4 linked regions of the Drosophila melanogaster genome follow. The protein of the gene in region 1 binds, or shares a complex with, the protein of each later gene. Each region holds a gene or a part of one and is shown in the gene's direction. Other genes may lie near its edges.

What was found.
Region 2: Nup107 (region 1) and Nup98-96 share a complex: the UniProt entries of both Drosophila melanogaster proteins name them as parts of the nuclear pore complex.
Region 3: Nup107 (region 1) and Nup358 share a complex: the UniProt entries of both Drosophila melanogaster proteins name them as parts of the nuclear pore complex.
Region 4: Nup107 (region 1) and Nup160 share a complex: the UniProt entries of both Drosophila melanogaster proteins name them as parts of the nuclear pore complex.

The regions. Positions count from the first base shown.
Region 1 is NT_033779.5:10,732,793-10,738,104, reverse strand, and holds Nup107 (nucleoporin 107kD), read left to right. Parts: upstream 1-2,033; 5' UTR 2,034-2,159; coding exon 2,160-4,332; intron 4,333-4,396; coding exon 4,397-4,761; 3' UTR 4,762-4,812; downstream 4,813-5,312. Other genes in the region: CG12299 (uncharacterized protein), read right to left, coding at 1-217; Vha16-5 (vacuolar H[+] ATPase 16kD subunit 5), read left to right, coding at 1,148-1,729; Dpy-30L1 (Dpy-30-like 1), read right to left, coding at 4,883-5,287. UniProt on the Drosophila melanogaster protein: Plays a role in nuclear pore complex (NPC) assembly and maintenance. Required for nuclear import of Mad. Mediates the association between the nuclear pore complex and a subset of active chromatin regions adjacent to lamin-associated domains.
Region 2 is NT_033777.3:23,775,622-23,783,375, reverse strand, and holds the start of Nup98-96 (nucleoporin 98-96kD), read left to right. Parts: upstream 1-1,754; 5' UTR 1,755-2,211; coding exon 2,212-2,491; intron 2,492-2,551; coding exon 2,552-5,089; intron 5,090-5,168; coding exon 5,169-5,687; intron 5,688-5,755; coding exon 5,756-5,938; coding exon of another isoform or gene 5,939-5,958; exon of another isoform or gene 5,959-6,160; intron 6,161-6,268; coding exon 6,269-6,444; intron 6,445-6,500; coding exon 6,501-6,783; intron 6,784-6,842; coding exon 6,843-7,754. Other genes in the region: mbc (myoblast city), read right to left, coding at 988-1,036. UniProt on the Drosophila melanogaster protein: Part of the nuclear pore complex (NPC). Required for MAD import as part of the Nup107-160 complex and required for nuclear export of Moe probably via its association with Rae1. Plays a role in nuclear mRNA export.
Region 3 is NT_033777.3:25,247,843-25,252,379, forward strand, and holds the start of Nup358 (nucleoporin 358kD), read left to right. Parts: upstream 1-1,505; 5' UTR 1,506-1,788; coding exon 1,789-1,860; intron 1,861-2,380; coding exon 2,381-4,537. Other genes in the region: Nup37 (nucleoporin 37kD), read left to right, coding at 121-264, 331-739, 797-1,206. UniProt on the Drosophila melanogaster protein: E3 SUMO-protein ligase. Component of the nuclear pore complex (NPC), a complex required for trafficking across the nuclear envelope.
Region 4 is NT_033779.5:11,121,940-11,129,810, forward strand, and holds Nup160 (nucleoporin 160kD), read left to right. Parts: upstream 1-1,837; 5' UTR 1,838-1,939; coding exon 1,940-2,036; intron 2,037-2,100; coding exon 2,101-2,203; intron 2,204-2,256; coding exon 2,257-2,748; intron 2,749-2,805; coding exon 2,806-2,987; intron 2,988-3,060; coding exon 3,061-3,470; intron 3,471-3,543; coding exon 3,544-4,210; intron 4,211-4,275; coding exon 4,276-4,381; intron 4,382-4,449; coding exon 4,450-4,611; intron 4,612-4,666; coding exon 4,667-4,909; intron 4,910-4,964; coding exon 4,965-5,083; intron 5,084-5,138; coding exon 5,139-5,753; intron 5,754-5,818; coding exon 5,819-6,340; intron 6,341-6,396; coding exon 6,397-6,794; intron 6,795-6,867; coding exon 6,868-6,987; 3' UTR 6,988-7,051; downstream 7,052-7,871. Other genes in the region: Csl4, read right to left, coding at 863-1,318, 1,373-1,531; RfC38 (replication factor C 38kD subunit), read right to left, coding at 7,052-7,871. UniProt on the Drosophila melanogaster protein: Functions as a component of the nuclear pore complex (NPC). Involved in poly(A)+ RNA transport. Required for nuclear import of Mad. May play a role in double strand break DNA repair. Essential for nephrocyte development.

The DNA.
Region 1 (5,312 bases):
GGGGGTGCAGGGTGTTCATGTGCTGGTACAGCGCCAGCGGATGGACGAAGAACTCCGCACAGCACATGCAGTGGAAGGTGAGATCCGGCGGCTGTGGCTGCTGCGGTTGCTGCTGGGGTGGATTGGGTGCCTGTTGCGGCAGGAGGTGCGTCTGCTGCAGGATTGGCGTGATCGTCAGGGGCAGGTGGTGGTAGCTCTGTTTCAGCTGCACGGCCATCTTGCCAAAAGGCTGTGCAAATCAAACAACAAAAATCACAAGGAACACAAGCGACGAGCGTGTGAACATTTTCTCTATAATAAAAATGCGCGTTTGCGGGGAGAAAAATCAATGCCGTACCTTGGGTGAGATTAGATGCGAAGTGCCGTGGATCAGGGGTTCCGTAGACTACTATTATATCACTGGTGTGTGCTGTTGCTCAGGTTCCGTGCTTTTGTGTTTCTCTCAGGGCTCTCGTCCACATTCGTCCACTGCGTTCCATTTTATGCGCCGCCAGCGAAATGCGAATAACTTGCTTCCTGTTTTCGGTGCTCGCTTGTTTTTGAATTTGGCTGCTCGGTTCCGTGGGTCGCCGGAATCGCGTACCGTCCTCCGACCCGTTGTCTGGTTAGCTGCGACTGCCAGGAGCTGCGACTCGAGCGAATGCAGCGCATCGCCCAATCGCAATTCTGCAGAGCCAAAATCGCAATTGCAAGCGTCTTCGCCGTGCGTACAACAAATAAAAGAAAAATGTTTTATGTTGGGCGGCCCTTGCACGATTGGACGGCAGCATATCGTCATGCAAGCGTTTCGTGCACGTCGCCAGCATGATGACCGATAAACCGCGCAGCTTCAAATTCAAACCGCAATCGATTGTTACATCTTTCGAAGGTTTTAAACATTTAATAATATTTAATTTAATTTCGAGTGCCTAAATCTAAGCAAGTTTTATTATTAGTGTTTAATTTCACTTAACAAGTTGCTAAAATTATTGAATTGAGCCCTAACATCTTAAATAATATTAATATTAAATATAAACTGCTCATCTCGTTCCCCTTGGATTTTCTTTCTTGCCAAACTACAGGCTAGTCAGACTAACAAGTTGGAAAATCCAGAAAGCAAGCAACGTGGATCGTTCCTTTTCAAGTAAATACGAAAAAGGCTACCAAAATGGAAATGGATTACTATCTGCCAGTGTATAACGGATCAAATTCGGTGGACGTGCCGGGGCTGATTGAAAGTCTCAAGCTGAAGGAAACCAGTATATCGCCAATCGTGCTGGATCGCTATCCGCCGTACTCCCCGTTCTATGGCGTGATGGGCGTCGTATTCTCCAGTGTGCTGACCTCCGCTGGAGCGGCCTACGGAACTGCTGTTTCCGGAACTGGAATCGCCGCCACAGCGGTGATGCGTCCCGAGCTGGTGATGAAGTCCATCATTCCGGTGGTCATGGCGGGCATCATTGCCATATACGGTCTGGTGGTATCCGTGCTCCTATCTGGGGAACTAGCGCCTGCTCCCAAATACTCGCTGCCCACCGGCTATGTACACCTGGCCGCTGGACTTTCGGTGGGATTTGCTGGACTGGCTGCCGGATATGCAGTGGGTGAAGTCGGCGAAGTGGGCGTGCGGCACATTGCCCTGCAGCCACGCCTCTTTATCGGCATGATCCTGATCCTTATTTTCGCCGAGGTGCTCGGTCTCTACGGCCTGATCATTGGGATTTATTTGTACACGGTCAACATTAAGTAGCAGAATTTGTTATATCTAAAATATTTAATTCGTTAAGAAACGTTTTTATCGATCTTTAATATTTGAAATGCCTTTTGAATTTCTTTACGCGATTGTGGTACTCATTTCAGGTACGCCGTTGCGGTACGCGATGGAGGTACCCCATACTAATGATTCTACGGAATGCTGGTACCTTATTCTTTAGCAGCTTTGCCGAATTACTAGATATGTAAACAATTTAAATCAATTTGTTTCTTACGAAATTTGCTTGAATTCAGTGAGAATCGCTTATTTACAAGTGTATGTGCAAGGGAGCTTTCTTGCTGTTCCGTCATCTGGTAACACTGAACGCTCCCGGCATTTTTAGCGAATAGCGCGTGAATTTCTGTTTTGATTAAATTAATTGAATTGATGTGCCGTAGCTGATAGCCAAGAAACGCATAGTGCAGCCATGGCCGACAGCCCGTTCCCGAGGAGCAGCCGCAGTGGCCTGCTACGCACGACGCTGAACAGCTCGATGCCGCCGCAAAATCTCTCCCACTCGCTGCTCATCCTCGAGAAGAGCAACGCGGAGCAGAATGAGCTCTCGCTGATGGAGGACACCGGCGATGATCTGGATCGGGGCAAGAGCCGCATGGACGTGCTCTTCCCGCAGTTCTTCGACGTGCTGCAGGCTCAGGGTAACGGGCAGGAGGCATTCGAGGTGATCCAATCGCTGACGCAAGTCTGTCGCGGCGTGGTGGAGCAGCTGGAGCTGGAGATCGATCACGGCATGGGTGGGGAACAGGGCGCGCGGCAACGCGAGTCTATGCTCACCTGGCTGCGACAGGAGATAAACACGTGGCGCCTGCTGCACGCCCTCTTCTACGACCGCATCCTGCTGCAGACGGACAGGCAGGCGGATGATGAGATGCAAGATGGCCCCACGCTCGGCGGCAGCGAGAAGGAGGTCATACAGCAGTTGTACGCCCTCAATGCGACGCTGCGTGAGTACCAGCTGGTGGTGGACTGGCTGGAGGCGTGCTACGACCGGGGGGAGCAACAAAACCCACTCCACGCCCACGATCGTATGATGGCGTGGGAGAACACGCTCTTCCAACTGGAGAACCTGCAGGGCGCCGCCTTTGGCAAGGGCCATAAGATCGTAACGCGTCTGGATCCAGATGCTCCCGTACGCGAGAAACGACCGTTGCACGCCCTCGACGAGGAGGACAACCTGCGCCTGTCCCGCGCCATTTTCGAATTGATACGAGCGGGACGCGTCGACGATGGCCTCAAGTTGTGCAAGCACTTCGGACAGACGTGGCGGGCGGCGATCCTTGAGGGCTGGCGTCTCCACGAGGATCCCAACTTCGAGCAGAATGTCTCGGTGCTGCACGAAAAGCTGCCCATCGAGGGCAATCCCAGGAGGGATATCTGGAAGCGCTGCGCGTGGATGCTGGCCGATTCCAAGAACTATGACGAGTACAGCCGCGCGACGGCGGGTGTCTTCTCCGGCCACTTGGGCTCGCTGAAAACCCTTTTGCACAGCAACTGGCACGATTTGCTCTGGGCCCATCTGAAGGTGCAGATCGACATCCGTGTGGAATCGGAGATACGCGGCTGCTGCCTCAAAAACTACCAACCGATGCCCGATGATTACTGGAACGGCAGGATGACGATGGAGCAGATCTTCGAGGAACTGAACGTTGCCAAGGATGCGTCGGTGCGGGATTTCGCCCAAAGTCAACTGGGCATTATCCAGCGTCATTTAATCCTGGATACTTGCGGCGAGCTGATCCAACACATGGTGCGCTGGGTGGAGAAGGATACCTCCCAACAATCGCCCCATCAATTGCGCTTTATGGCCCACATAGTGCTCTTCCTGCGTCAAATCGGCCGTGTGGAGCAGGAGCGACAGGCGGAGAAGATCGTAGCCGCATATGTGGAGGCATTGATTGCCAGGGGCGAACCGCAGCTAATAGCCTACTATACTGCATCGCTTTCGAATCCGCTGCAGGTTCAGCTCTACTCGCGGTTTCTGGAGCAAGTGGAGCAGAAGCGTCCGCGGGAGCTAGCTGTGGATGCCGCCCTGCAGGCGGGCTTGGATGTGGAACAGATCACACGCGTCACCGTGCAGAATATTCGCCTCGCACATCAGCCACTCGGGGAATTCGGTGAGCCGCAGTCCGGCGAGATCTCTGCAATCGATCAGCGCAAGATCTCAGCATTGGAGTGGCTAATCCATTTGCCGGAGCAGCGCGGTGAGTTGCTGTGGCAGGCCAACGCCATGATACGCACCTATCTGGCCAGCAGCAAGGTGGAGTGCATGCGCCAGACCTTCCGCATGGTGCCGGCCGACATAGTGCAGCAACTAGTCAGCTTGTACGGCTCGGTGGACAACATACCACCGCGTGAGGAGTGCTGCCTGAAGGAGTATCTCTGCTACAAGGCGTATCTGTCTGGCGTCGACAGTTTCGTCGAATGGAACCGCCTGCAGCAGAACAGGCCCAAGAAGCCACAGACTTCACACGCAGCTTCCTCGCAGGACAACTTCACGGAGCGCATGGCGAGTGAGCGCAAGGAGCAGGCTCACCGATCGGAAGTCGTGCGCTGGGAGCACAAGGTTAAGGAGCAGGCCAAGCGTAAGTGGATCGCATACCCATTAATGAGATCTTTTGGCATATAACCCGCATTCTTTCCCTGCAGAAACCATCGAACTCCTGTACAATGTGCTCATGTTCCCGGACAAGGGTTGGCTGGTGGATCCGTTCATCGCCAAGCTGCCCGAGAACGCCGTGCAGCTGAGCTGGGATCATCGCCTACTGCAGATGGAGAAATTGCGCTCCATCTGCATTCCTGAGATCGCCCTGTTTCTGAACGAAGTGATGTTCAAGTCGGGAGACTTTGCGGGTTGCGTGCGCCTGGCAGATGAAATATCCAGCGAGAATCGGCAGTTGTACAAAGTCTATACGAAGCACAAGCTGGCAGAGCTTCTGGCCAAGATCGCGGACGCCTCCCTGGAGCTGCTCAACTCGAAACTGGATCCATGGGGCTATCCTATAACAACTTAGCAATCCTAGTACATTTGTGTGTTTTGCGATTACATTCTAACTTTAAACGTTTATTATTTATTCACTGTTCAATTATACAACTAAGGAGGGGGACAAATGGGAGGTAGGTAGGATGGAGGGCTTAGGAGTTGTTGTCCACGGCGGCGGCGGAGGCGTTGTTCTCGTCGCACCCGTTGCTATGCTTTAGTAGGTAGGAGGCCAGGAACTGTATGGGATCCGTGGGCCGTTCGCGAGCCAGGGCCTGCATTCCGTGGAGCAGAACCGGCGCCACCGTCTGGTCGAGGTACTGTCGCGTGGGCATGTTGTTTGTCTCGCTACTGGGCTTCTTGGCCACCGCCGGCTGCTGTTGCTGCTGCGCCACTGGATTTGTGGACTGGCCAACGGCAATGGCTCCGGATGGAGGAGCTCCCGGCGCAGCGGTCGGGTTTGCTTGCGCATTGCTGCTTGCATTTGGCTCCTTGCCAGCTTCTGCCGGCGGATTTGTTGTGGGCGCTGGTGAGATGGGTGCGTCGGTCTTGGCCTCCATGGCAATGTGTTCCTTTTGTTCAGCA
Region 2 (7,754 bases), on another chromosome or scaffold:
CCCGTCCACCTGGCCACGCCCCAATGGTACTATCAGATACTCGTACTCGCAGCGATTTCGACAGCTAGTAAACGCGCAAACACAAAAAAGGGCAGAGGCAGAGGCAAACGTGTGTAAATAACAAGTGCAAACACACCGGCAAGCTCCATTCGAGTGTTAACGAACGAGATTCCCAGTTCCACTCGATCTACCTGGGACTAGAGGTACCTGTACTTTATGTACCTGTCGTATCTATTGATCAGCGGTGAAAAGGTCAACAAAACGAGATCCATAAAAAATTCACACGCATTCGAAGCGGGTCGCGATTAGATATTTCATGGTCACTGCCATTGAATTGGGATTTGTCTCACAGTGTACACAGAAAATAAACATTTCTACTGTCAGCTTGATGCAGCTTGCCTTGGGTTTACAAAGACCAGGTTTCAAATCCCACACCCGTAAATACGTAAAAGTTGTAGTACTAATGTTGTAGTACTTCAGATTTAAGTTTATGTAAAATTACATTAATTGTATAAAATTTCTTTATGTGTACCAGGCCTTTTTTCTGGCAGTGTGTTGCAGTTGCACGTGAGAGACAGAGACAGTATGAAAAGCGAGAGAGACAATAGAAAACAGGTTTTAGTTTCAAGAGCAAATCTCAGAATTTTATGCTAGTGTTGACTGAGCAGGATGAAATGAAATGAAAAACGAAACAACACAGTGAGAGCGGGAAAGGGAGGATCAACAGCAGCCGAGTGAGCGTGTGCAAGCGAGAAGGTGCAACAAGTTTTACCGTAGCAACGCAGCAGGAGGCACACACATGCGGTGAAATAAGAGAGAGAGTTAGAGAGAGAGGTGGGGGTGGAGATGAGGTGTGCTCTGGAAAAGAGCGCCCAACAGTTCATAAAGTTTTCCTTTATTGTTGTTTACAAAGCACTTTGTTTAAACATTCCTGCCTAGCCATATTCTACCTAATTTATCGGCTTAATAGCCGCATTGCCAACTTACCAATGCCGAATTCTGCCTGCTTGGCATTGCAGTCGCTCCACACACTCATCTTGAAGGCTTTTCTTCTCGTTGTTGTTGCTTCTACTAGTGTTGTTGCTGATATTGTTGTTTTTGCGCCGACTTTTACCACCAACACGGCGACAAACGATCGCTACTCACACATGCAAAGCGATGGACTTTCGTTTGCGAAAATAAAAACAACAAGACATTAAATTAGGCAACGGCAAAAGAGCAACACGTAGTTGAAATTTTGATTTCGTTTTCACAATGCCGCCAACACAAGCATTTCGCCTCCGATTTCGCTACAGATTTCGACGAAAAGCACACCGGTTGGACAATTGCAACCAATAAATAATTATTGCACAAAAGCTAGCATTCCGCACAAATTGTCGCTCCGCAAATGCATTTTGCGCCGTTTTTCGCTCGTTTTGTTCTCGACTTGTATTTGGGCTGGGAGTTGGCCGCTGCCGCTCAGCTAATTATCACATGTACACGCACTCGATCGCACACACACTCGTGTGTGACAGTTGCCAATTAATTAAATAACCGCTCTCGGAAAACAACCCGCGCGTTTCAACTGTTTGTTGTGAATGAGCGTGCTCGATGCCCAGAAGTACCGTACTGTTCCCAATCGAAAATATCAAATATAGAGTGCCCCTTACAGCGTGTTCACACCGTTGATGTCAAATGGGTTTTCACTTTGTTCGCAGTACGGTCACATAAAAATGTGAAAATCGAGCTTACCTACAAAATACGAGAAACCCAAGTTATAAAATACATTTTCCACACATTCATAGTAAATTTGCTTCGGAGGCACCAAGCAAAAATTTTATTAAGACCATAAATAAGTTATGGTCAATAGTTATGCGCCTGGCAGTTGTATCCTGCTTTTTTACAGTGTATTTTTGCATGCGATTTCACGCCTTGGTCACACTTTTGGCTGCATTTTCTTCAACATCGTGAAAAAATCGGCGCGCCATTTCTGTCCACTTTTTGCGTCAGACTCGGTCGACTCCTGCTGACTTGACAAATTCGCGAGTGTTTATTTGTTTTAAGCTAAGCCTGTCCGGTCCCACAACCTTCGCATCCGGCGCAGCCGCCCCAGCTTGCCCAACGTGGTGAAATCGAAGCATTGCTCATCGCGATAGTTGGCATTCCGGCGAAGGACAAAGCAGGGGATCTACCTAGTATATGTTTGTTATCTGAGCAGCAGCAGCGAGCAAAATGTTTGGCGGCGCGAAACCCAGCTTCGGAGCCACTCCGGCGGCCACCAGCTTTGGCGGATTCAGCGGCACCACAACAACCACTCCGTTTGGCCAGTCGGCATTTGGCAAACCCGCCGCACCGGCCTTTGGAAACACCTCCACCTTTGCCGCCCAACCCGCGCAGCAGTCACTGTTCGGTGCGGCAGCCACACCAGCTCAGCCCGCCGGAGGCTTATTCGGGGCAAACACGTCCACGGGATTTGGAAGCACTGCCACAGCTCAGCCCACGGCTTTTGGAGGTTAGACACGATCATTTGAAGTGGTATCATGTTACTAATTTAGTAATTTCTTCTTTGCAGCCTTCTCGCAGCCGCAACAGACCTCGAACATATTTGGATCCACCCAGACGGCGGCAAGCACCTCCCTCTTTGGACAATCGACGCTACCCGCCTTTGGAGCCGCCAAGCCGACTATGACGGCCTTTGGGCAAACAGCTGCTGCTCAGCCCACGGGCTCTTTGTTTGGCCAACCGGCTGCCGCCACCAGTACAACAGGATTCGGAGGCTTTGGGACGTCGGCGCCTACAACCACCAATGTTTTTGGCAGTGGCACCGCCTCCGCCTTTGCCCAACCTCAGGCTACGGCCGTGGGAGCTTCCGGAGTCAATACGGGCACGGCCGTGGCCAAGTACCAGCCAACCATTGGTACAGATACCCTGATGAAGAGCGGTCAGGCAAATAGTGTGAACACTAAGCAGCACTGCATCACGGCTATGAAGGAGTTCGAGGGCAAATCTCTGGAGGAGCTCCGCCTGGAAGACTATATGTGCGGGCGCAAGGGTCCACAGGCTGGGAATGCTCCGGGAGCTTTTGGATTTGGAGCTCAGGTTACTCAGCCCGCTCAGCCTGCAAGTGGTGGCCTGTTTGGAAGCACTGCCCAACCAAGCACAGGTCTGTTTGGCCAAACTGTGACCGAGAATAAGAGCATGTTTGGCACCACCGCTTTTGGCCAACAACCGGCGACTAACAATGCATTCGGAGCAGCAACCCAGCAAAACAACTTTCTGCAAAAGCCCTTTGGAGCCACCACCACCACTCCGTTTGCCGCTCCCGCAGCTGACGCTTCAAATCCATTTGGGGCGAAGCCTGCTTTTGGACAGGGAGGAAGCCTCTTTGGTCAGGCACCTGCTACCAGTGCGGCTCCTGCTTTCGGACAGACTAACACAGGATTCGGAGGCTTTGGAACCACAGCCGGAGCAACGCAACAGTCAACTCTTTTTGGTGCCACACCAGCCGCCGATCCAAATAAATCAGCCTTTGGGTTGGGAACGGCTGCATCAGCAGCCACGACAGGTTTTGGATTTGGAGCTCCAGCAACAAGCACCGCCGGCGGAGGCCTTTTCGGAAACAAGCCCGCCACTAGCTTTGCTGCTCCAACTTTCGGCGCAACCTCCACGGCTAGCACTCCGTTTTCAAATTTTGGCCTGAACACCAGTACAGCAGCAACGGGAGGAGGCCTTTTTAACTCGGGATTGAACAAGCCAGCAACGTCCGGATTCGGAGGTTTTGGAGCCACCAGCGCAGCACCACTTAATTTCAACGCAGGCAACACGGGCGGATCACTTTTCGGAAATACAGCCAAGCCGGGAGGAGGTCTTTTTGGAGGAGGTACTACAACCTTGGGTGGCACGGGTGCTGCCCCAACGGGAGGACTGTTTGGAGGAGGAACTACCAGTTTCGGAGGTGTCGGTGGTTCCTTGGGCGGAGGAGGCTTCGGTATGGGTACAAACAACTCGTTAACTGGTGGTATTATGGGAGCTCAGCCCACACTGGGTATCATGACGCCTTCACACCAGCCCATTCATCAGCAGATCCTAGCTAGGGTAACTTCTCCCTACGGAGACTCTCCGATTTTCAAGGATCTAAAGCTAAGCAGTGAAGCAGATGCAACAAGAGCTACAAATCCTGCTGCCCAACAAGCAGTTCTGGACCTGACCAGCAACCAGTACAAGATAAGTACCAGCAACAATCCTGCTCCAATGAAGGTAAAGGCGCTGGGCAGCACACTTAATAGAAAATCGCTGTTTGATGGTCTCGAGGAGTTTGATGCTTCTGTAGAGGGCTTCAATCTGAAGCCCAGTGCTAAACGATTAGTTATCAAACCCAAAGTAAAAAGTGTAGAGGGTGGAAATCCCTCTAGCTCTATTGGCAGTGCTCCCAACACGCCCCAATCTCGACCCAAAGGCGCAACTCCCAACAAAGAACGCGAGTCGTTTAGCGGAGCCATTCCAAGTGAGCCGCTACCACCAGCTGGAAACTCGCCTGGAGCAACGAATGGACGGGAAAGTCAGGATAACGGCCGCCGTGAGTCATGGCTGCATCCTAACAACCTTGAGAAGGTACGCCAGCACAACATTCAGACTGGAATGGATCAGGGATCGCCCCATAACAGCACCCTCAACGAGCTTGTGCCACGTAAACCTTTAGATACATACCGACCATCCTCCACCGTTCGCCTCTCGGTGTCAACCATCCCAGAGAATCCATTTGAGGATCAATCCAGCACCATTGCACGTCGCGAAACCTTCACTTCGCAGCAGGCCAATGAGAGTGTGCTTTCGAACAGATCTAATGAGGCAGAGGACTCTGCAGCAAACCAATCCCGCCTAGCCATTGAGGCAGCTGCTGCAGAGGCAGCAGACGACGAATCACATCCAACAGGCATTGTGCTGCGACGCGTGGGTTACTATACAATTCCATCGCTAGACGACCTACGCTCCTATCTGGCCGAGGACGGATCCTGTGTGGTTCCGAACTTTACGGTGGGTCGGGAAGGATACGGCAATGTCTTCTTCGGCAAGGAAATGGATGTGGCTGGCCTGAACCTCGATGAGATTGGTAAGAGTCTTGTGTTTTTTTATAACCGTTTGTGTTTGCTCTCATACATTTATTTAATGCAAAACAATTTGTATCACAGTCCACTTTCGCAACAAGGAGATTATCATTTATCCCGACGACGAAAACAAGCCGCCCATTGGTCAAGGTCTAAACCGTGACGCCCAGGTCACTTTGGACCAAGTATGGCCGTTGGACAAGACCAAGCACGAAGCCATCAAGGACCCACAACGCTTGCTTGAGATGGACTGGGAGGGCAAGTTGCGCCGGGTGTGCGATAAAAACGATACGCGCTTTATAGAATACCGCCCGGAAACGGGTAGTTGGGTCTTCCGCGTCAAGCACTTTTCTAAATATGGCCTGGGAGACAGCGACGAAGAGGACGAGTTGCCCACTGACCCGAAAAAAGCCAAAATTGCAACGCTTGAGGCTCAGCAGCGGGCAAACGCAGAAAAGATGACGCTCAATTCGCTGCGCCAAGCGCAGAAGATTTCAGAAGATGCAGCCCGTAACTTGGACCCAAAAGCCTTGGTCGCAGGTGTTGCCAGCGGATTCAGGCCAATGGATGATACCGCCGAGTTCCTTTTAATGGACAAAACACGTACGTCTAAAGTCCATTTTAAAAGGTTTAGTTTCATTAATTGTAATTTACTTAATTTTAATTCGCAGAATTTTTCCAAGCTGGTGGCAACTCCGATTTCTCCATGTTTGATCCACCGCGTCAACGTCCAACGATTACCAGTCCCACAGCTGTTTTGGCTCAGGAAATGGTAGGCAACGAGGCGCACAAAATGCAGCTAATGAAGTCATCCTTCTTTGTGGAGGACAATGCTCCCGAGGACGAACCCATGGGTAGGTGGATAATCTCTTGATGGTCTTTCAAATTGCTTACAGTAAAAGATATGTAGATGTTTAAATGTTAATCGTTAGTTTTGAGCAAATATGTATTGTTAATTATCAACGATATTTAATGATTTTTGATCGTTGCAAAAAGTATTATATATATATATTTATGTTTAAAAAGGTAGCACAAATTATAAAGTTAATAAAGCTTTCAAATGTGTTAGTAAATCCAATTCATTTTGCCTGCTTTGGCAACAATTCATTATAATTACAACAATTCACTGCTTATCATCCCACACGGCCACTATACATTTGAAAATTACTCATAAATTTCTACAGAGACTACGGGGCGTCTTCTTCGTCATCGCAAGTTTTTCAACGTGGAACCTCTTGTTTGGAAAGATGGTGCCTCCGAGAGTTCCAGTCAGTACGATTTTGAACACCCATCGCCCGCTCTGCCGATTTCTTCCTCCGTCTCTGAGGCCAGCCTGATGTGTGATGCACATTATGAGGAGGTATATCGACGTAACCTTTTACTTTGAAGCCCAATAAACATCCTGATCAATTTCAGACATCGTCGATGGCAACTGGAAGCATTGTTGCAGCTGTAAAAGAAACGAAGTTTGAAATGCCTGTCACTAAAGCCTTCAAGTTTGTCTGTAAGCCCAAAGTGGCTCCGATTAAGTTGCGTGCCACCACGGTTCCCCTACCCAGGTCCATCGCTTATGAGATGCGCGATAATTGGATCGCCGATTTGGGATTCTACAAAGGACGCAGCTTTAAGCTCAGTTTTGGTCCACAAAACTCATTGGTACTGCCAAGCACCTATAATAACATGCAAAACCTAAAAGAATGTAAGAATATCTGAAACAAGCTGTAGCAGTCCAATTATAATAATTTCCCTTTGCTTCAGTTACTGGACCATCCCTGCCCGTCTCCATGGTATTTGCGCCGCGCTCGGCCACCGATTTGTCGCCCAGTGTAATGCAGTTGGTGGAGTTTAACATGGTCAAAGGCAACGAGGGTTTTCGAGAAAGTATCATTCCCCATCTCGAAGTTCAGCTTAACGACTGCCTCTCAGTTAATGTGGAGGGTAGTGAGTGCCCGTGTATACATCCCGATAGCGGTACGAAACTAGTTTCCAAGCACTTCTCCGAGTCTCTTAAGCAGAGAAATGCTGGCTTAAAAGAGGACTATAGCGTGTCAGTGTGGTCGCTTTTATTCGCACTATGGGGCGATCACGATGAACTGGTGGACCTGGAAAAGAACTCTCATTACATGGTCATGTGTCGGCGCAATCTGCTATCCGAGTGGCTTGAGAACACGCTGCTGGGCAAAGATCTACTCTCGAAAAAAGTTAGCACCCACAGCTACCTGGAGCACATGTTGGATTTACTTAGCTGCCATCGCGTAAATGAGGCTTGTGAGCTGGCCTTCAGCTACGATGATGCTAATCTGGCTCTTGTGCTGTCCCAATTAAGTTCCGGAGCTGTCTTCCGGCTATTAATGGAGGAGCAGCTCTTTGCCTGGCAGCAGAGCAAGTCGGATAAGTATATCGATCTGGAGCGCCTTAAGATGTACATGCTGGCCGCCGGAGCGCCAATGATGCAGTCTTCACATGGGGCCATCAACTTACTCGAGAATAAAAACTGGCTGACAGCACTGGCCCTGCAGCTATGGTATTTCACAGCCCCAACATCGTCTATCACCGATGCACTCAATGCTTATAACGACGCCTTCCAAGCGGAAGAGTGCTATGCGGAGCCCCCAAAGCCCAGCTACAGGGACGCACCTACTGACACCAAGAAGCCCGTCTACGATTTGC
Region 3 (4,537 bases), on another chromosome or scaffold:
AAAGTGTAAAATCTTGGAAAATTCTTCCACTGATTTTTGGTCATACTAAAATAAACATTTTTTTGGCGCCGGCTAATTGTTGCATATATCCCGCGAATAACAAACAATATTTATAGAAAGATGCGATCTGTCATCGAGCCCGACCACAGCATCCAGCTTAATGAAGCCATCTACTGCTACGATATATGCACCAATGACTTTGCCTACAACCTAATCGCAGTGGCCTTCAGGAAACACTTGAGTCTGCTGCTCGTTGGACTGCCGGTGGGTTTCCATGCATAAGACCAGTGAAGGTTGAATGATTTTGAATGGTTAACCCTTAATCCGCAGGAGGAGAGCGGCGAGTTCGGGTACACACGCCTGCAGGACATGGACCTGGGCGAAAAGGAGCAGCGGAGCGTGAGCGCACTGGCCTTCTCGCCGGACACCTCGCTCAACTGCACGCCCAACAATGTGACTTTGTGCGCGGCCAACGGCAGCCAGCTTAAACTATACCGCACCGATCTGGGCCAGTTCACCTCGCTCCAGGTGCTCCGTGGGCATGGGGACTACGTCAACGATGTATCCTGGGTTTGCGACGGCGAACTGCTGGCCTCCGTTAGCGATGACTTCACCTGCAGATTCTGGACGACGACAGGCGGCGGGGAGAATGTCATAACCTTTGGCCTGTCCTCCGCTGGAATGTCCGTCAAGAGTCACCCCGAGGATCCCAACAAGGTTCTTGTGGCGGAAAAGAAGGGTGTGCTTGCTATTACCAGTGTTTAGCCCGCGGTGTAACTAAGGAAACTCCTTGCAGGCATCATTCATCTATACAATGTGACGCTCAAGCAGACAGTCATCTCCGTGGAGTCGCCCAAATTCCCCCTGATGTCGGCGGACTGGGCCCACAGCAACCGGCTCTTCATCACCTCGCTGGCCGGCGGAGATGTGGTTACCTGGGACCTGAACCGACCCTATGTGCCCGCGGATGTCAAGCAGGTCCACGAGGATTGCGGCCGGGTGGTGCGCTTCGCGCCAGGCAGCTCCGAGATGGTTATCGCCATGGTCATCGGGCTGACTCTCAAAGTGTTCGCGGCCAAGTCGACCGTTCCTCTGCTGGAGGCCTCCCTGAAATCCTATGGGGGAATGGCCTGGCACCAGCGATTGCCGTACATTAGTGCGGTTTCCGATAGGAAACTGCTCTTCTGGAAAGTGCAAATGAAGTAATTTATATAAAATTGTATGAATAATAAATAAAAGAATATAAAAAATATGATATAAAAAAGATTTATCAGAAGAATATCAATGATCTACACTCTATTTCTATATTTATATTTCATAATTTCGTTAAACTATCATAAGTTTTATATTATTCTTGAACCTTCTTTAATTTATTTATTAAATCCCTTATACTTATTTGTTTGTTCGAAAAAAAATCGTAGCAATCGATAGTTGCTATAGTCATTAAAACATCGGTGACGCGATATATTCGCGCCCATCGATGAAAACGCGTAGTCATCGTTTTTTGTTCCAGCACTAAGTTTGCACAAATTTTTTGGTTTCCGTGCTGTTCAGCTTAAGTTTTAATTGGAATTTAGTGATATTTACGTTCCAATCTACACCGCAAACGAGTGCAGTTTGTTGCGACTGGAATTGCCCATCCGAATCTACGTGATTTTCCGGCCGGGGCAATTAACCGTTCGAGGAATCTGCTTCAATCGGATGACGAGTGAAGAAGAATCTAACGCGAAGCACATTTTTGCAAGGTCTCGTCCACTGCAAATTGGACGTGTTTAAAAAAGTACAGATATGTTTACAACGCGAAAAGAAGTGGACGCACACGTCCACAAAATGTTGGGAAAACTTCAGCCGGGAAGAGAGGTAAATAAACGGCCAAAGTGTGCATCGGAATTTCCAAAAAGAAAATCATTGCGAAATCTTCAGGCGCCGCCATTGAAAGCACACCGTTGTGTGCGTGCGGCGTCTGCTTGTGTTTGTGTGTGTGAGTCGGCGTCACTTGGCCGTCGTTTTTGAGATTGAATAAGAAATTGCGCGCTTTTCTTTCAACGGCTGCATTTCATATACTTGACAAATAGAACGCTTTTTTCGCAGCTGCATGGCTTTCGCCTTCTCTGTATAAATCAAATTAGATATTTGAGGTTATGTGTACCATATCAATCTGCTAGAGTGAGCGCTGAATTTGTAAGACCGCCAAAAATAATTCGAATTTCCATTGTGGATTTGAATGATTTTTTGCGGTCTAACGTAGCTCTATCTAAATAATAAGCACACAATAAGTCAAATCTTACAAAGTTATTCTTATCCAGCTCACAGTGATTGTCTAAAAATTTAACAGACTTTTTTGAACCTAACGTACTAATCAATAAAATGTATATTGTAGCGCGATATCAAAGGCTTGGCTGTAGCTCGATTGTACATGAAAGTTCAGGAATACCCAAAAGCCATCGAGTATTTGAACGGCTATCTCCGGGTGAGGGACGACGCTGTAGGCCATAACATGATTGCCACTTGCTACAGTAGGCTGAACCCGCCCGATGTGACAGAGGCCCTGCAGCACTACCAACGTTCTATTCAAATTGATCCGCGTCAGTCAGAGGTTGTCATTGACGCCTGCGAACTTCTGGTGAAGGAGAACAACGCATCGATCACGGAGTGCGCCAGGTACTGGTTGGATCAGGCTAATAGCCTTGATTTAAGCGGCAACAAGCAAGTCTTCAACCTGCGAATGCGTGTAAATCTTGCGGACAGTAACGGCGAAAGAGATGACACCAGTGGCGGAGACGGCGAGCAAAATACCCTCGAGATTCTTATGTACAAGGAGCTGCAGGCGCGTCCCCAGGATGTTAATATACGCATACAACTGCTGCGCAGCTATGTTGAAAAAATGAAAATAGACCAGGCCTTCAACTATGCTCTAAAAACGGAACTGGAGTCGAAAAACTGCACGAGCCAGTCGAACGAATGGTACGAGCAGATCTGGATGGTCCTTTTCAAGATAGAAATGGCCAAGGATGTAAAGAAGAACTGGCGATTTTGGCACTTCGCCTTGCACACTCTCGATCGTCTCGTGCAGCTAAGCCTGGAGGGCAGTGGACTGGCAGACAGCAGCAAGCAGTTGTTCAGACTTGATCAATATCTATTCAAGTTTAGCACTTCGATAGAGAGGTCAGGGGACGCTCCGCAGCGGGATCTCCACCAGGCTTGTATTGACCACTTTACCGGCCAGCTTCTGCTTCACGCGGTGACACTGATTTTCAAACGTGAGGTTCTGGCAAACAAAAACAAATGGATGAGCACGCTTCGCTCCGCTTTGCCACTTCTGCTCCTTGGTTACCAGGTGCGACCGATCGATGATTCGAGTACCAACCAATGGATAAAACACTGCGACGCGGAACAGAAGCAGTTGATACAGATGTGGCGCCCTCAGGGCGCCTTTCGATGTGCCCAGCTTGGACGAACCCTTTTGGGCTGCTTGGACCGGTCACAAATGGAAATTAAAAACGATAGAGAAAATGCCGAGTTTGATGAGAATAAGAATTCGGGAAATTCTATGCCGGGATTATTTGCCGACTCCGAAGAGCTGTTGGCCAGCGCTCACCAGCAATGCTTGGACAAGAGCTGGCGAAGTCAAATTTACCAACAGCTCTTTACCCACGCCGAACACAAGCTAAAGGATACGTCTTCGCATCTGGTGCGGAACCTGCGTCTGCAGCTGCCTCTTTTTGAGTGGCCGAATCTGGCGCATATCGAGAACTACGAACTGCAAGCGTTGGTGCTGCCGCCACACTCCTTAGCCCAACATGTCTACCTGGCTCTGGGCACCGACCCGAACAAACTTGGAGATGCGCCACGCGTGGTCTTTTATGAGGGTTTCCAACGGGATGTTAAGCAGAATCTAAACTACTGTGGGCAAGATTCAATCAGCCAGGTAGATGTGGACCTCTACCTTTATGCCACAACCATTCAGACCAGACGTAAATTGCAAATCCAGCGTGAGGTGTATGACTCCTCCAATTTGGGAAACCGCAATGCTGCCGCCCGGCCACATATGATGCCATTTGCCAATCTAGTGGGTCAACTAGGCGCACCGGAGCAAAGTAACTGGTGGGATCTGGTGGTGCGACTTAACTCGAACCAGCTTATCACTGAAGGCAATCGCGCCGAGCAACGAGCTCAACTACAACATGGATTGGAAGCGGTGCGCGGCGTTAATGGCCCAAAAGCAGATGCCATCATCATTTTTCAATTGGGAAAGATTTTAAATTCCCGATCGGATCGTTCTTCTCTAGAAGCGCGTATCGATACCCTGTACAGGCAAGGATTTTCAATTTTACGCCACCAACACAACCAGCAGATGGAATCCTATGTCCGCGTCTTTAAGTACGGATCCGCCGGCTCAACGGCAGCATGGCAAGATCTTCAGTCGTTGGCTGAGGAAGCCGTCACCTATTTTAGCGAGAAAATGTTTAGGATTGGACAGTATGAGCAGTTTTTGGACGAGGTCCGGGGACTTCATCTGCCCATGGCCTACTTTTTG
Region 4 (7,871 bases), 390 kb from region 1:
GGCAAGACAAGACACGGTGGCCTAGTCCCGGAGCAGCTCATTGCTCCAGGCTGCCTGCTCCCGCTCCTCTGATTGAATTAGTCGCGGCTCCTGCACGCGAAACGAACTTCCATTTGCTATTTGCATAGGAATAGTCATCCATCAACAACAGCTCCCAGCGACATTGATTGGCAACGGGCTACGGGTTTTTACGCCTCTGACGCCTGAGCCTTTACAACCATCTATTTGCCTTTATGATTATATATTTTTTTTTTTGGGAACACGTGCAATTGCATGTTATTGAAATTCGGATTACTTGGAATAAGTACCTGTCGTTTACCCTAAAAGTTTTTATGTTGCCAACCTATAAAGTGCATGTGCCTGCATATATTTAGATTACCTTGTGTTTATGAATTATTTTAAACATAAAATATGTTTTGTTAAGTTGCTAGAACAAATTACCGCACAATTTCTTTAATCTATTCCCATGACTTTCGAATCTATAGAGATACTTTTAAAAACAGCAATTGCATGACGATCCAATATTAAATTCTAATCTCTTGTTGAATCATTATAACAAACCAATCATGAATAAATAACAAATATAAGATACGTATCAATCATAAAAGCTAAACTATGGAAACCAGCTTGTTTTGAACTTTTACAACTTAATTATAGATTTATTTAATGATTTGAAATAATGTAAACTGTCAAATAGCTACTTATCAACGTTGCTATGGAAATAAAATGCTAACATAAACCTGTATCCATATTCAGCGTCCTCTGGTTGCCAAGACATATAATTATTTGGCTAATAATCACTTACTAAAACATTTTTAGTTCCACAAATGAATTTAAGCTTCTGATTAACATGCGATTGACCTTATTTCACAGCATTTATTGAACTCTCAGGCAGAACTTTAGCCACTTTCCGTGGCTCCTTGATCGTGGTCTGGGGGCACTGCATCTCGCTCCAGCCGACCGGCACCATGGGCACCCGGGTCTTCCGGTAATCACTGGCATAGGCGATGACCACGCCGAGTTCATTTTCGGCGGTGGTCAGGAGGAAGGACTGCTCCAGTTGGTTAATGACCCTCGCCAGGATGACATCGCCCGGCCGGAAGGACTTGTAGATATCGACGCGATCTTTTTCGGTCTCCCGGACATCCTCCTTGCGCAGAAGTCCGCGGTAGCTGCTTTCCAGCAGCACATTTCGTACGCAGAAAATGGCGCACTTGGCGAATTTTGGAGTTGTGACGAGAACTCTGGCTGTGACCACGTCTCCGGTGGCTGGGATGGTTAGATGAAATCCGGGCTTATGCACACTAACCACCTGGCACTGAAATGGAGATTAATTGGTTCCCAGAGTCAACGAAATGCCAGGATTACTTACTTTATCACCCGAATCTTCGATGTTGACAATTCCAGACTTGGAGGCGTAAATGTAGCCATTCTGCTCGTAGGTGCCTATGCCCAGGACTATGCTGTCCTCGGTTCTGCAGAGTCGCTCCCCGGGCAGGCAGACTACAGTCTCATCCTGCTGTTCACTCATTTTTAGGCCAGAGACAGTTTTTATTTTAAAAAATAAACTAAATAATAAAGCCGCATCAACAAATGGAAACACACGTGCAATGCAGTGTGACCAATATGTGGCAATTGTTAAAATGCTAGCGACAACTTTCTTAATATCACAAGATTTAAAGGCATCTTATATCATTCCTGCTTTGCTATAATAAACTTTATTGTCATGAAATTACATTTAGGAAAATGTACAATTTTTAACTAACTTCTGTAATTAACTTTTGTATGTGAGTATAAAAAGCTATGTCGACTATTTTGCCTGGTGTGCACCGCTGGCGTAAGCGTTTTCCAACACTACTACTGAGCGTGTTTACGCCGGTGCCGCCAATAATTTTCCGTTTTCGTTGAGGTTTTTATATTAATTTGTTGTGCTAGCAAGATGCCCACATCCAAACTGCAAGCCAACATGAGCTACCGCGAGGTCATACCGCGGAACCTCAGTCCGGCGGAGTGGATCGAGGTGAAAATTAACACGGGTGAGTTTCGTGCAAGATTGCCAGAGAAATTCTGAGTAACCAAATGCTCCTCCGCAAAATGTAGGAACCCAGAGCACTTTGCAGGATTTAAAAACCTTCGAAACCTCCGGCGGCTATTGCTACAAGAATACGAAAAATGTTCAGACCAGAAACCGTTTCATATATTGGTAAGTGCAAATCAGAATCGTTAAATTAGTTTCACATGGCCACTGATTTGCAGGCGGACATACCAGGATGTCCTGGAACTATCAGAGGTTAGTTTGGACATCTCCCTGCAGAGGAATCACCTGCGTCTGCGATTCACCGACTCCGCTGTGCTGAATGTATCACTCACGGAGCAAGGTACATCCGTCACCCTGCTGGTGGTCACGGTCAGCAGTGTGCATCGCTATGTGTTTCCCTTGAAGGTCGCTGGGCAGGAAGGTGGCGCAGCTTCTCCAGAGGATCTGCTATCCCAGTCCATTTTCTACGACGTCAATGACAAGATCAATGATCCCAGCACTTACTATGTCACGGATGGCTTTGGAACTATGCCCAACGCGGCTGTATCGTACCTCACTCAAGACTCCCAGTCAGCCTACTTTGCGGTGGCGTATCAGAGCAAACTACTGCTTCACGTTATGAAATGCTCCACCGGCCATACTATCACCCACGAAATCAAGGAGCCGAAGCTAATGCCATGGTTTCTGTCGAATCTCAAGGGTGCCCTCACGTAAGTGGATAAACCTCGATAAATGGCAAATCCCTAATGTTTCATTAATCATTGTAGCGGCCGCTCTGAAACGTTGGAGGCAGCCACGTCCATGGCTTTCAGTGAAATCGGGGGGGAAATTTTCATTCTGGTTCTGTATCGCAATAATGAGCTGCGTCTATGGTCAGTGGATAACTTGCAGACTGTAGCCAGCATTAACTGCTCCACCGAACTGGGACAGGACTCAGCAGCTCAAGGACGTGAGTATAAAATATTATTACGATTTAGATTTATGATCTAGATATAATGGGATTATATTCTTTTTTTTAACAGCACAAAACAGCCAGCTCCGAAAAATAAGCGATCAAAACTTCTGTCTATTTCTCTCGCACAATTCCCGAGCTGAGTTTATATGCGTTAGCATAATGCCCGATGCCGACGATGCCAGCGTTATCAATTTGGTGCAGAACATGGTGCCGGCGCCGCAAACGGATTTGGTCGACTTCGATGCCACATCCTCGCACATCTGGGCCCTTTGGAGCAACGCTGAAGGCGATTTCCATGTCTCGGCAGCATATTTTGCCTCCAACAACGCAATCAAATGGGTTTCGGCTGCTCTAGAACCGCCACCGGATCGGTATTGTCTCACCATGGAGCAGGGAGTGGATCCACGCGAAACTTACTGCAGCTATATATTTCATCCTGGTCGATTTGACCGAAATGTAATTGCCAAGGCTTTATATGTGAGTATAACCAAAACATTCTTTATTATGAATTATTGGAATAGTTTAGTAATTTGAATTTTTTGTATCGTAGATGTTCAGACGCGTTAACCTGCAATTCGATGTAAAGCAACTTTCCATGTCAGTGCTCAAGGAGCAGGTATGCCAGGCCGTGGAAGATGAAATCCAAAACGAACTGAAAGACTTTGTGGTCACCGATGAGGAGTACTTGGAGATATCCACTCGGCTGTGGGATCGCTTTTACTCCTGCTGCGAACAGTATCACATTAAGCTTTCCGAGCCGACAGGACTCGCCGTTCTTGGTGGAATGGATGCAGTATGTTTGGTTAGAAGGCAATCATTCGCATTGCTGCGCCCCTGCGAAGTGCTCGAGCACCTGTTGCTCATCGGCGAGCATAACGATGAAGTGGCGACATATGTGGCGCCACTATTTCGCAACGATCCCGAAATGGCCAAGGGTTTTGTGGAGCTCATGAATGTGGTGACACTGCTTGATAAACTAATTTCGGAGGACATTAAAATCGAGCTAGATAAACAGCTTTACCAGCGGGAGTCACCGGTTGAAGTAATATCTAAGCTGGTGGCTAGAATCAGTATGATCGATGATAATGGTCCAATATTGCCATCAAACTGTGTGAGGCAAATCCAACAGAAGCTGCAGAATATACCAAATCTTGAACCCGCTTTGGAAATGCTGCTCGATGTGCTGTGTATGATTGATCCAGATGAACCGCCGCATGGTAAATTACTTATAAATATATATAATGTTTGAAAATGATTCATATATTTCATTTCTACTTTATAGATTACTCCCTTTCTACGCGCTTCTTGCAGTCGTCTGGGGCTCTAATGGGTAGCGAATATGGACTTTCTATTTTGTCCGAAACAGTGAAGCAAATGGCAATGATACGGTGAGCTTTCGTAATAGTTTAAAAAACTTTGAACTTGGTTTATCATTTATTAAATCATGTGTCCCTAGGTTTTCTGTTTGCCGAAACCTTTTGGTATTGCAGTACATGGCTTATGGTCAGAACGAAATGGAAAGCGAAAATGTTTTAACAAATTTAAATTATTTGAACTCATATTATACACTGGTTTGGATTGCCGAGACACCCATTTCATCGAGTACCCCAGCTGGATTGTAAGGATATATAATTGATTGTATTGCACAGTTCTAACTTCTATTTTAATTTTAGCGAGGCATCTATTCAACGATTGAGCCGCGCCCAACTTTTCAGCGGCTATAATCGACCATACTCCAGCCATCTGAAACATAATGGGAACGATCAGACCACTCTGCTCCGACTGTTCCTGGAATCGAAAGGTCTGTTCAGCGCCTTGACTATGCTGCTGAAGCATGACAGTTTGTCGCTGGACTCGGAGCAATTGAATCTACGCCAGTCTTTGCTCCAACTTGTTGGATACATCAATAAGATGCTGTGCGTATAATATATAGAAAAATTGATCATGTTTTAAGTTTCAAACATCTCTTAGTTGGCCGGGATCTCCGATTTACGTATTTCCGGAATGGTTATTTGGGACCTGTCATCACATCATTGTTCAGGATTACGTGCGCATTTTGTCAAACTGGTGTTCCGTACAAAAACATGCCAGTATGCATTATTTGCTAGTTTTCCCAGCTTTGAAATTAATCCTTTTTTTCCGCAGGACGCTTTATGCTAGCCGTATCTCTATTGGATTGCGGTGAGGCCCACAAGGCCGTGCATCTCTTTCACGAGGCGGAGTCTGGCATTGTGGAGGATGACTTCCTCTTTGAGCATGTACTGAAAAATACCCCTCTATACGGCAAATTACAGAATAGCGTCAGCCGTGGCGATACAATTTCCCCCGAAGACACAAAACTGGCAATTGTTCACTACTATCTTAAGGTTATCCAGCTCTTTGAACAGCATTCCGCATTGGACTACATTATTCAACTGGCTGACATGGCCATTAGGGTGCTGCAGCCAGATGATCCTCAGTTGCCCATGTTCCAGTCAATAGTGTTCAATAATCATCTGCAGTTGGGACACTACGTGGAGGCGTACACCGCCTTAGTCAACAATGCAGATATTTCAAGGCGTAAGGATTGCCTTCGCCAGTTGGTCATAACGCTGTTCCAGAATAAATGTCTGCCACTGCTTATGCAGTTCTCCTACATCGGGTTGCAAGACGAGTTCGAGAGCATTGTTGAATCCCGGGCACGATCAATGAGCATCGATCAGAACGAAGTCTACAACTTTTTGTATGCATTCCATACGAACAAGGGTAACATGAGAAAAGGTTTGCATAAAAATTACTTTATTTTCTTCCATTTCTTCTTGCATTAATAATTTGTTTCCGAACAGCTTCTACGGTTATGTATGAGCAGGCCATGCGGTTTCAAGTAGACAGCGATGCACCAAACGCGCTAGAGAAACGTTGCTCCTCGCTGTTAATTTGCCTAAACTGTTTGCACCTAGTTGACAGCCGCTACAGATGGATTGCCAAGCCTGTTCTTGGTGATGAGCAGGTGATTACCATAGATCAGGATAACGACGATGGTGAGCCCAAATGTGACGAGGACAAGAGAGGCCAGGAGGTGGTTGTTCTAGAGCTGGCTGATATCCGAAGGGAACTGGTGCACGCAGAAGCTTTACGTGAGCTTTCCTTCTACCGCAAAGATACAGCTGCCTACGAGCGGGCCACACCCGAGGAGCTATCATACCTGCTGGCTAGTTCCGGCCTGTACACCGCGGCATTGAAACTTTCGCGGGGACACTCGTTCTCTGTGCTCCCCATATTCGAGAGTCTGACATCCGCTTGTGTTGCTGCCACTGAGGACAAGTCGTCGGACGCCTGGAACTGGCTGCAAAACAACGACATGGCAGGTAGGGATTTTTTAACGTGTATGAAAAAAAGAGGCTTACTATATGTCTTATAACAGATCTACCTCATCGAAGTAATGCTGCCGATATGGCCTGGACTTTACTTCAAAAACTGGTTGTGGATAACGAGGCAAAAGACTCCACCTTGATAAGAAAGAGCGTGGTTCAAAGGCTTCTCGGGTTAAACGCCTTCTTGCCCCAGTGGCTGATAAACTCCTACAAGTTATCCCACTCCCGGGAACTGCTCCACTTACTTGTGAAACACAATCGTCTGCTGGAAGCCGCAGATCTGGGATGTGAAATAATCGCCGGCATGCTGGGAGCAGGTAGCGAGTATTTCGAATTCAAACACGCGGTGAACATAGCAAACCCACAGCTCTGCTTCCCCATCAGCACGATCGATTTGCTGCTGCACGGTTTAAAGATTAATGGCAAGGATGATCTTGATTATGAAATGGTAAGTCATACATATAAATTTCGTTCTACTCAAAATACATTCCAATCATATTCCAAATCTATTCCTATTTTAGGCTTACTTTAAACTCGAAGAAGAAGTTCAAAGATATATTGAGACCATAAAGCGCACCACCGATGATAAGATGAGCATGGCCGTTCTGCAGATGCGAACGGATCTTCAGGAAGAACGTTAATAGTTCGTTTAAATCAGTTTATTTAATAAGTTTTTTGAATTAAATGCTAAAGCGTGTAAATCGTTTAAAAATCATCCGTCATGTCCAGCTCAGAAAGGAACTTTTTATAGATGTTCATAAACTGAGCGACGAACGCTTCAAGATGAAAAATGTGCTTGGCGCCGGACTGCATCCGGTGCTCGTACTCGGTGGCGAACTCGAGCGTCTTTGCCTTGATGGACATATCACAATTGTTAACCAGCTGTTCGACCAGGCCGCGGAATATGAGATTAGGTGGAACGCCTTGCGTGAGTAGCTCGTACAGGCGTTCGCGGATCTTCTCCAGTTTGGCAGGCGTTTGCTCACTGATAATCTGAGATGCTGTCTCACGCAGGAACACCTGCCAGTCCAGGTCGGGAATCTCCTGATTGGCGGTAAACGGCGCCTTGGCCACCTTGGCGGCCTCCAGCATCAAAAGTGCTCGCCTGAGATTGCGCTCCGACTTGTCCACAACCCGTTTGGCCAGCTCCACGGGCAGTGCGAGTCCCTCCCGCTTGCAAGTGTTCTGCAAGATGGACACGATCTCCGTTTCGTTGGGAGCCGCCACCCGTATGCCCAGGCAACGCGACCGTATGGCCGGAATGATCCGAGATGTGGAGTTCACCGATATGATTATCCGGCACGTGGCCACATATTTCTCCATCGTACGGCGCAGGGCGTGCTGGGCATCCTTGGTGAGTTCGTCGCCCTCCGAAATTACAATCACCTTGAATTCCCGTTGGCCACTAATCTCAATTTGATGCGTCTGGGCCACCTGCTTGATGAGATCGATCACCACCGTGCGGTCGTACATGCCAGCGTCGGAGGGATTCACCTCCAAGTGGTAGTTGCTGCTGACCGTCATC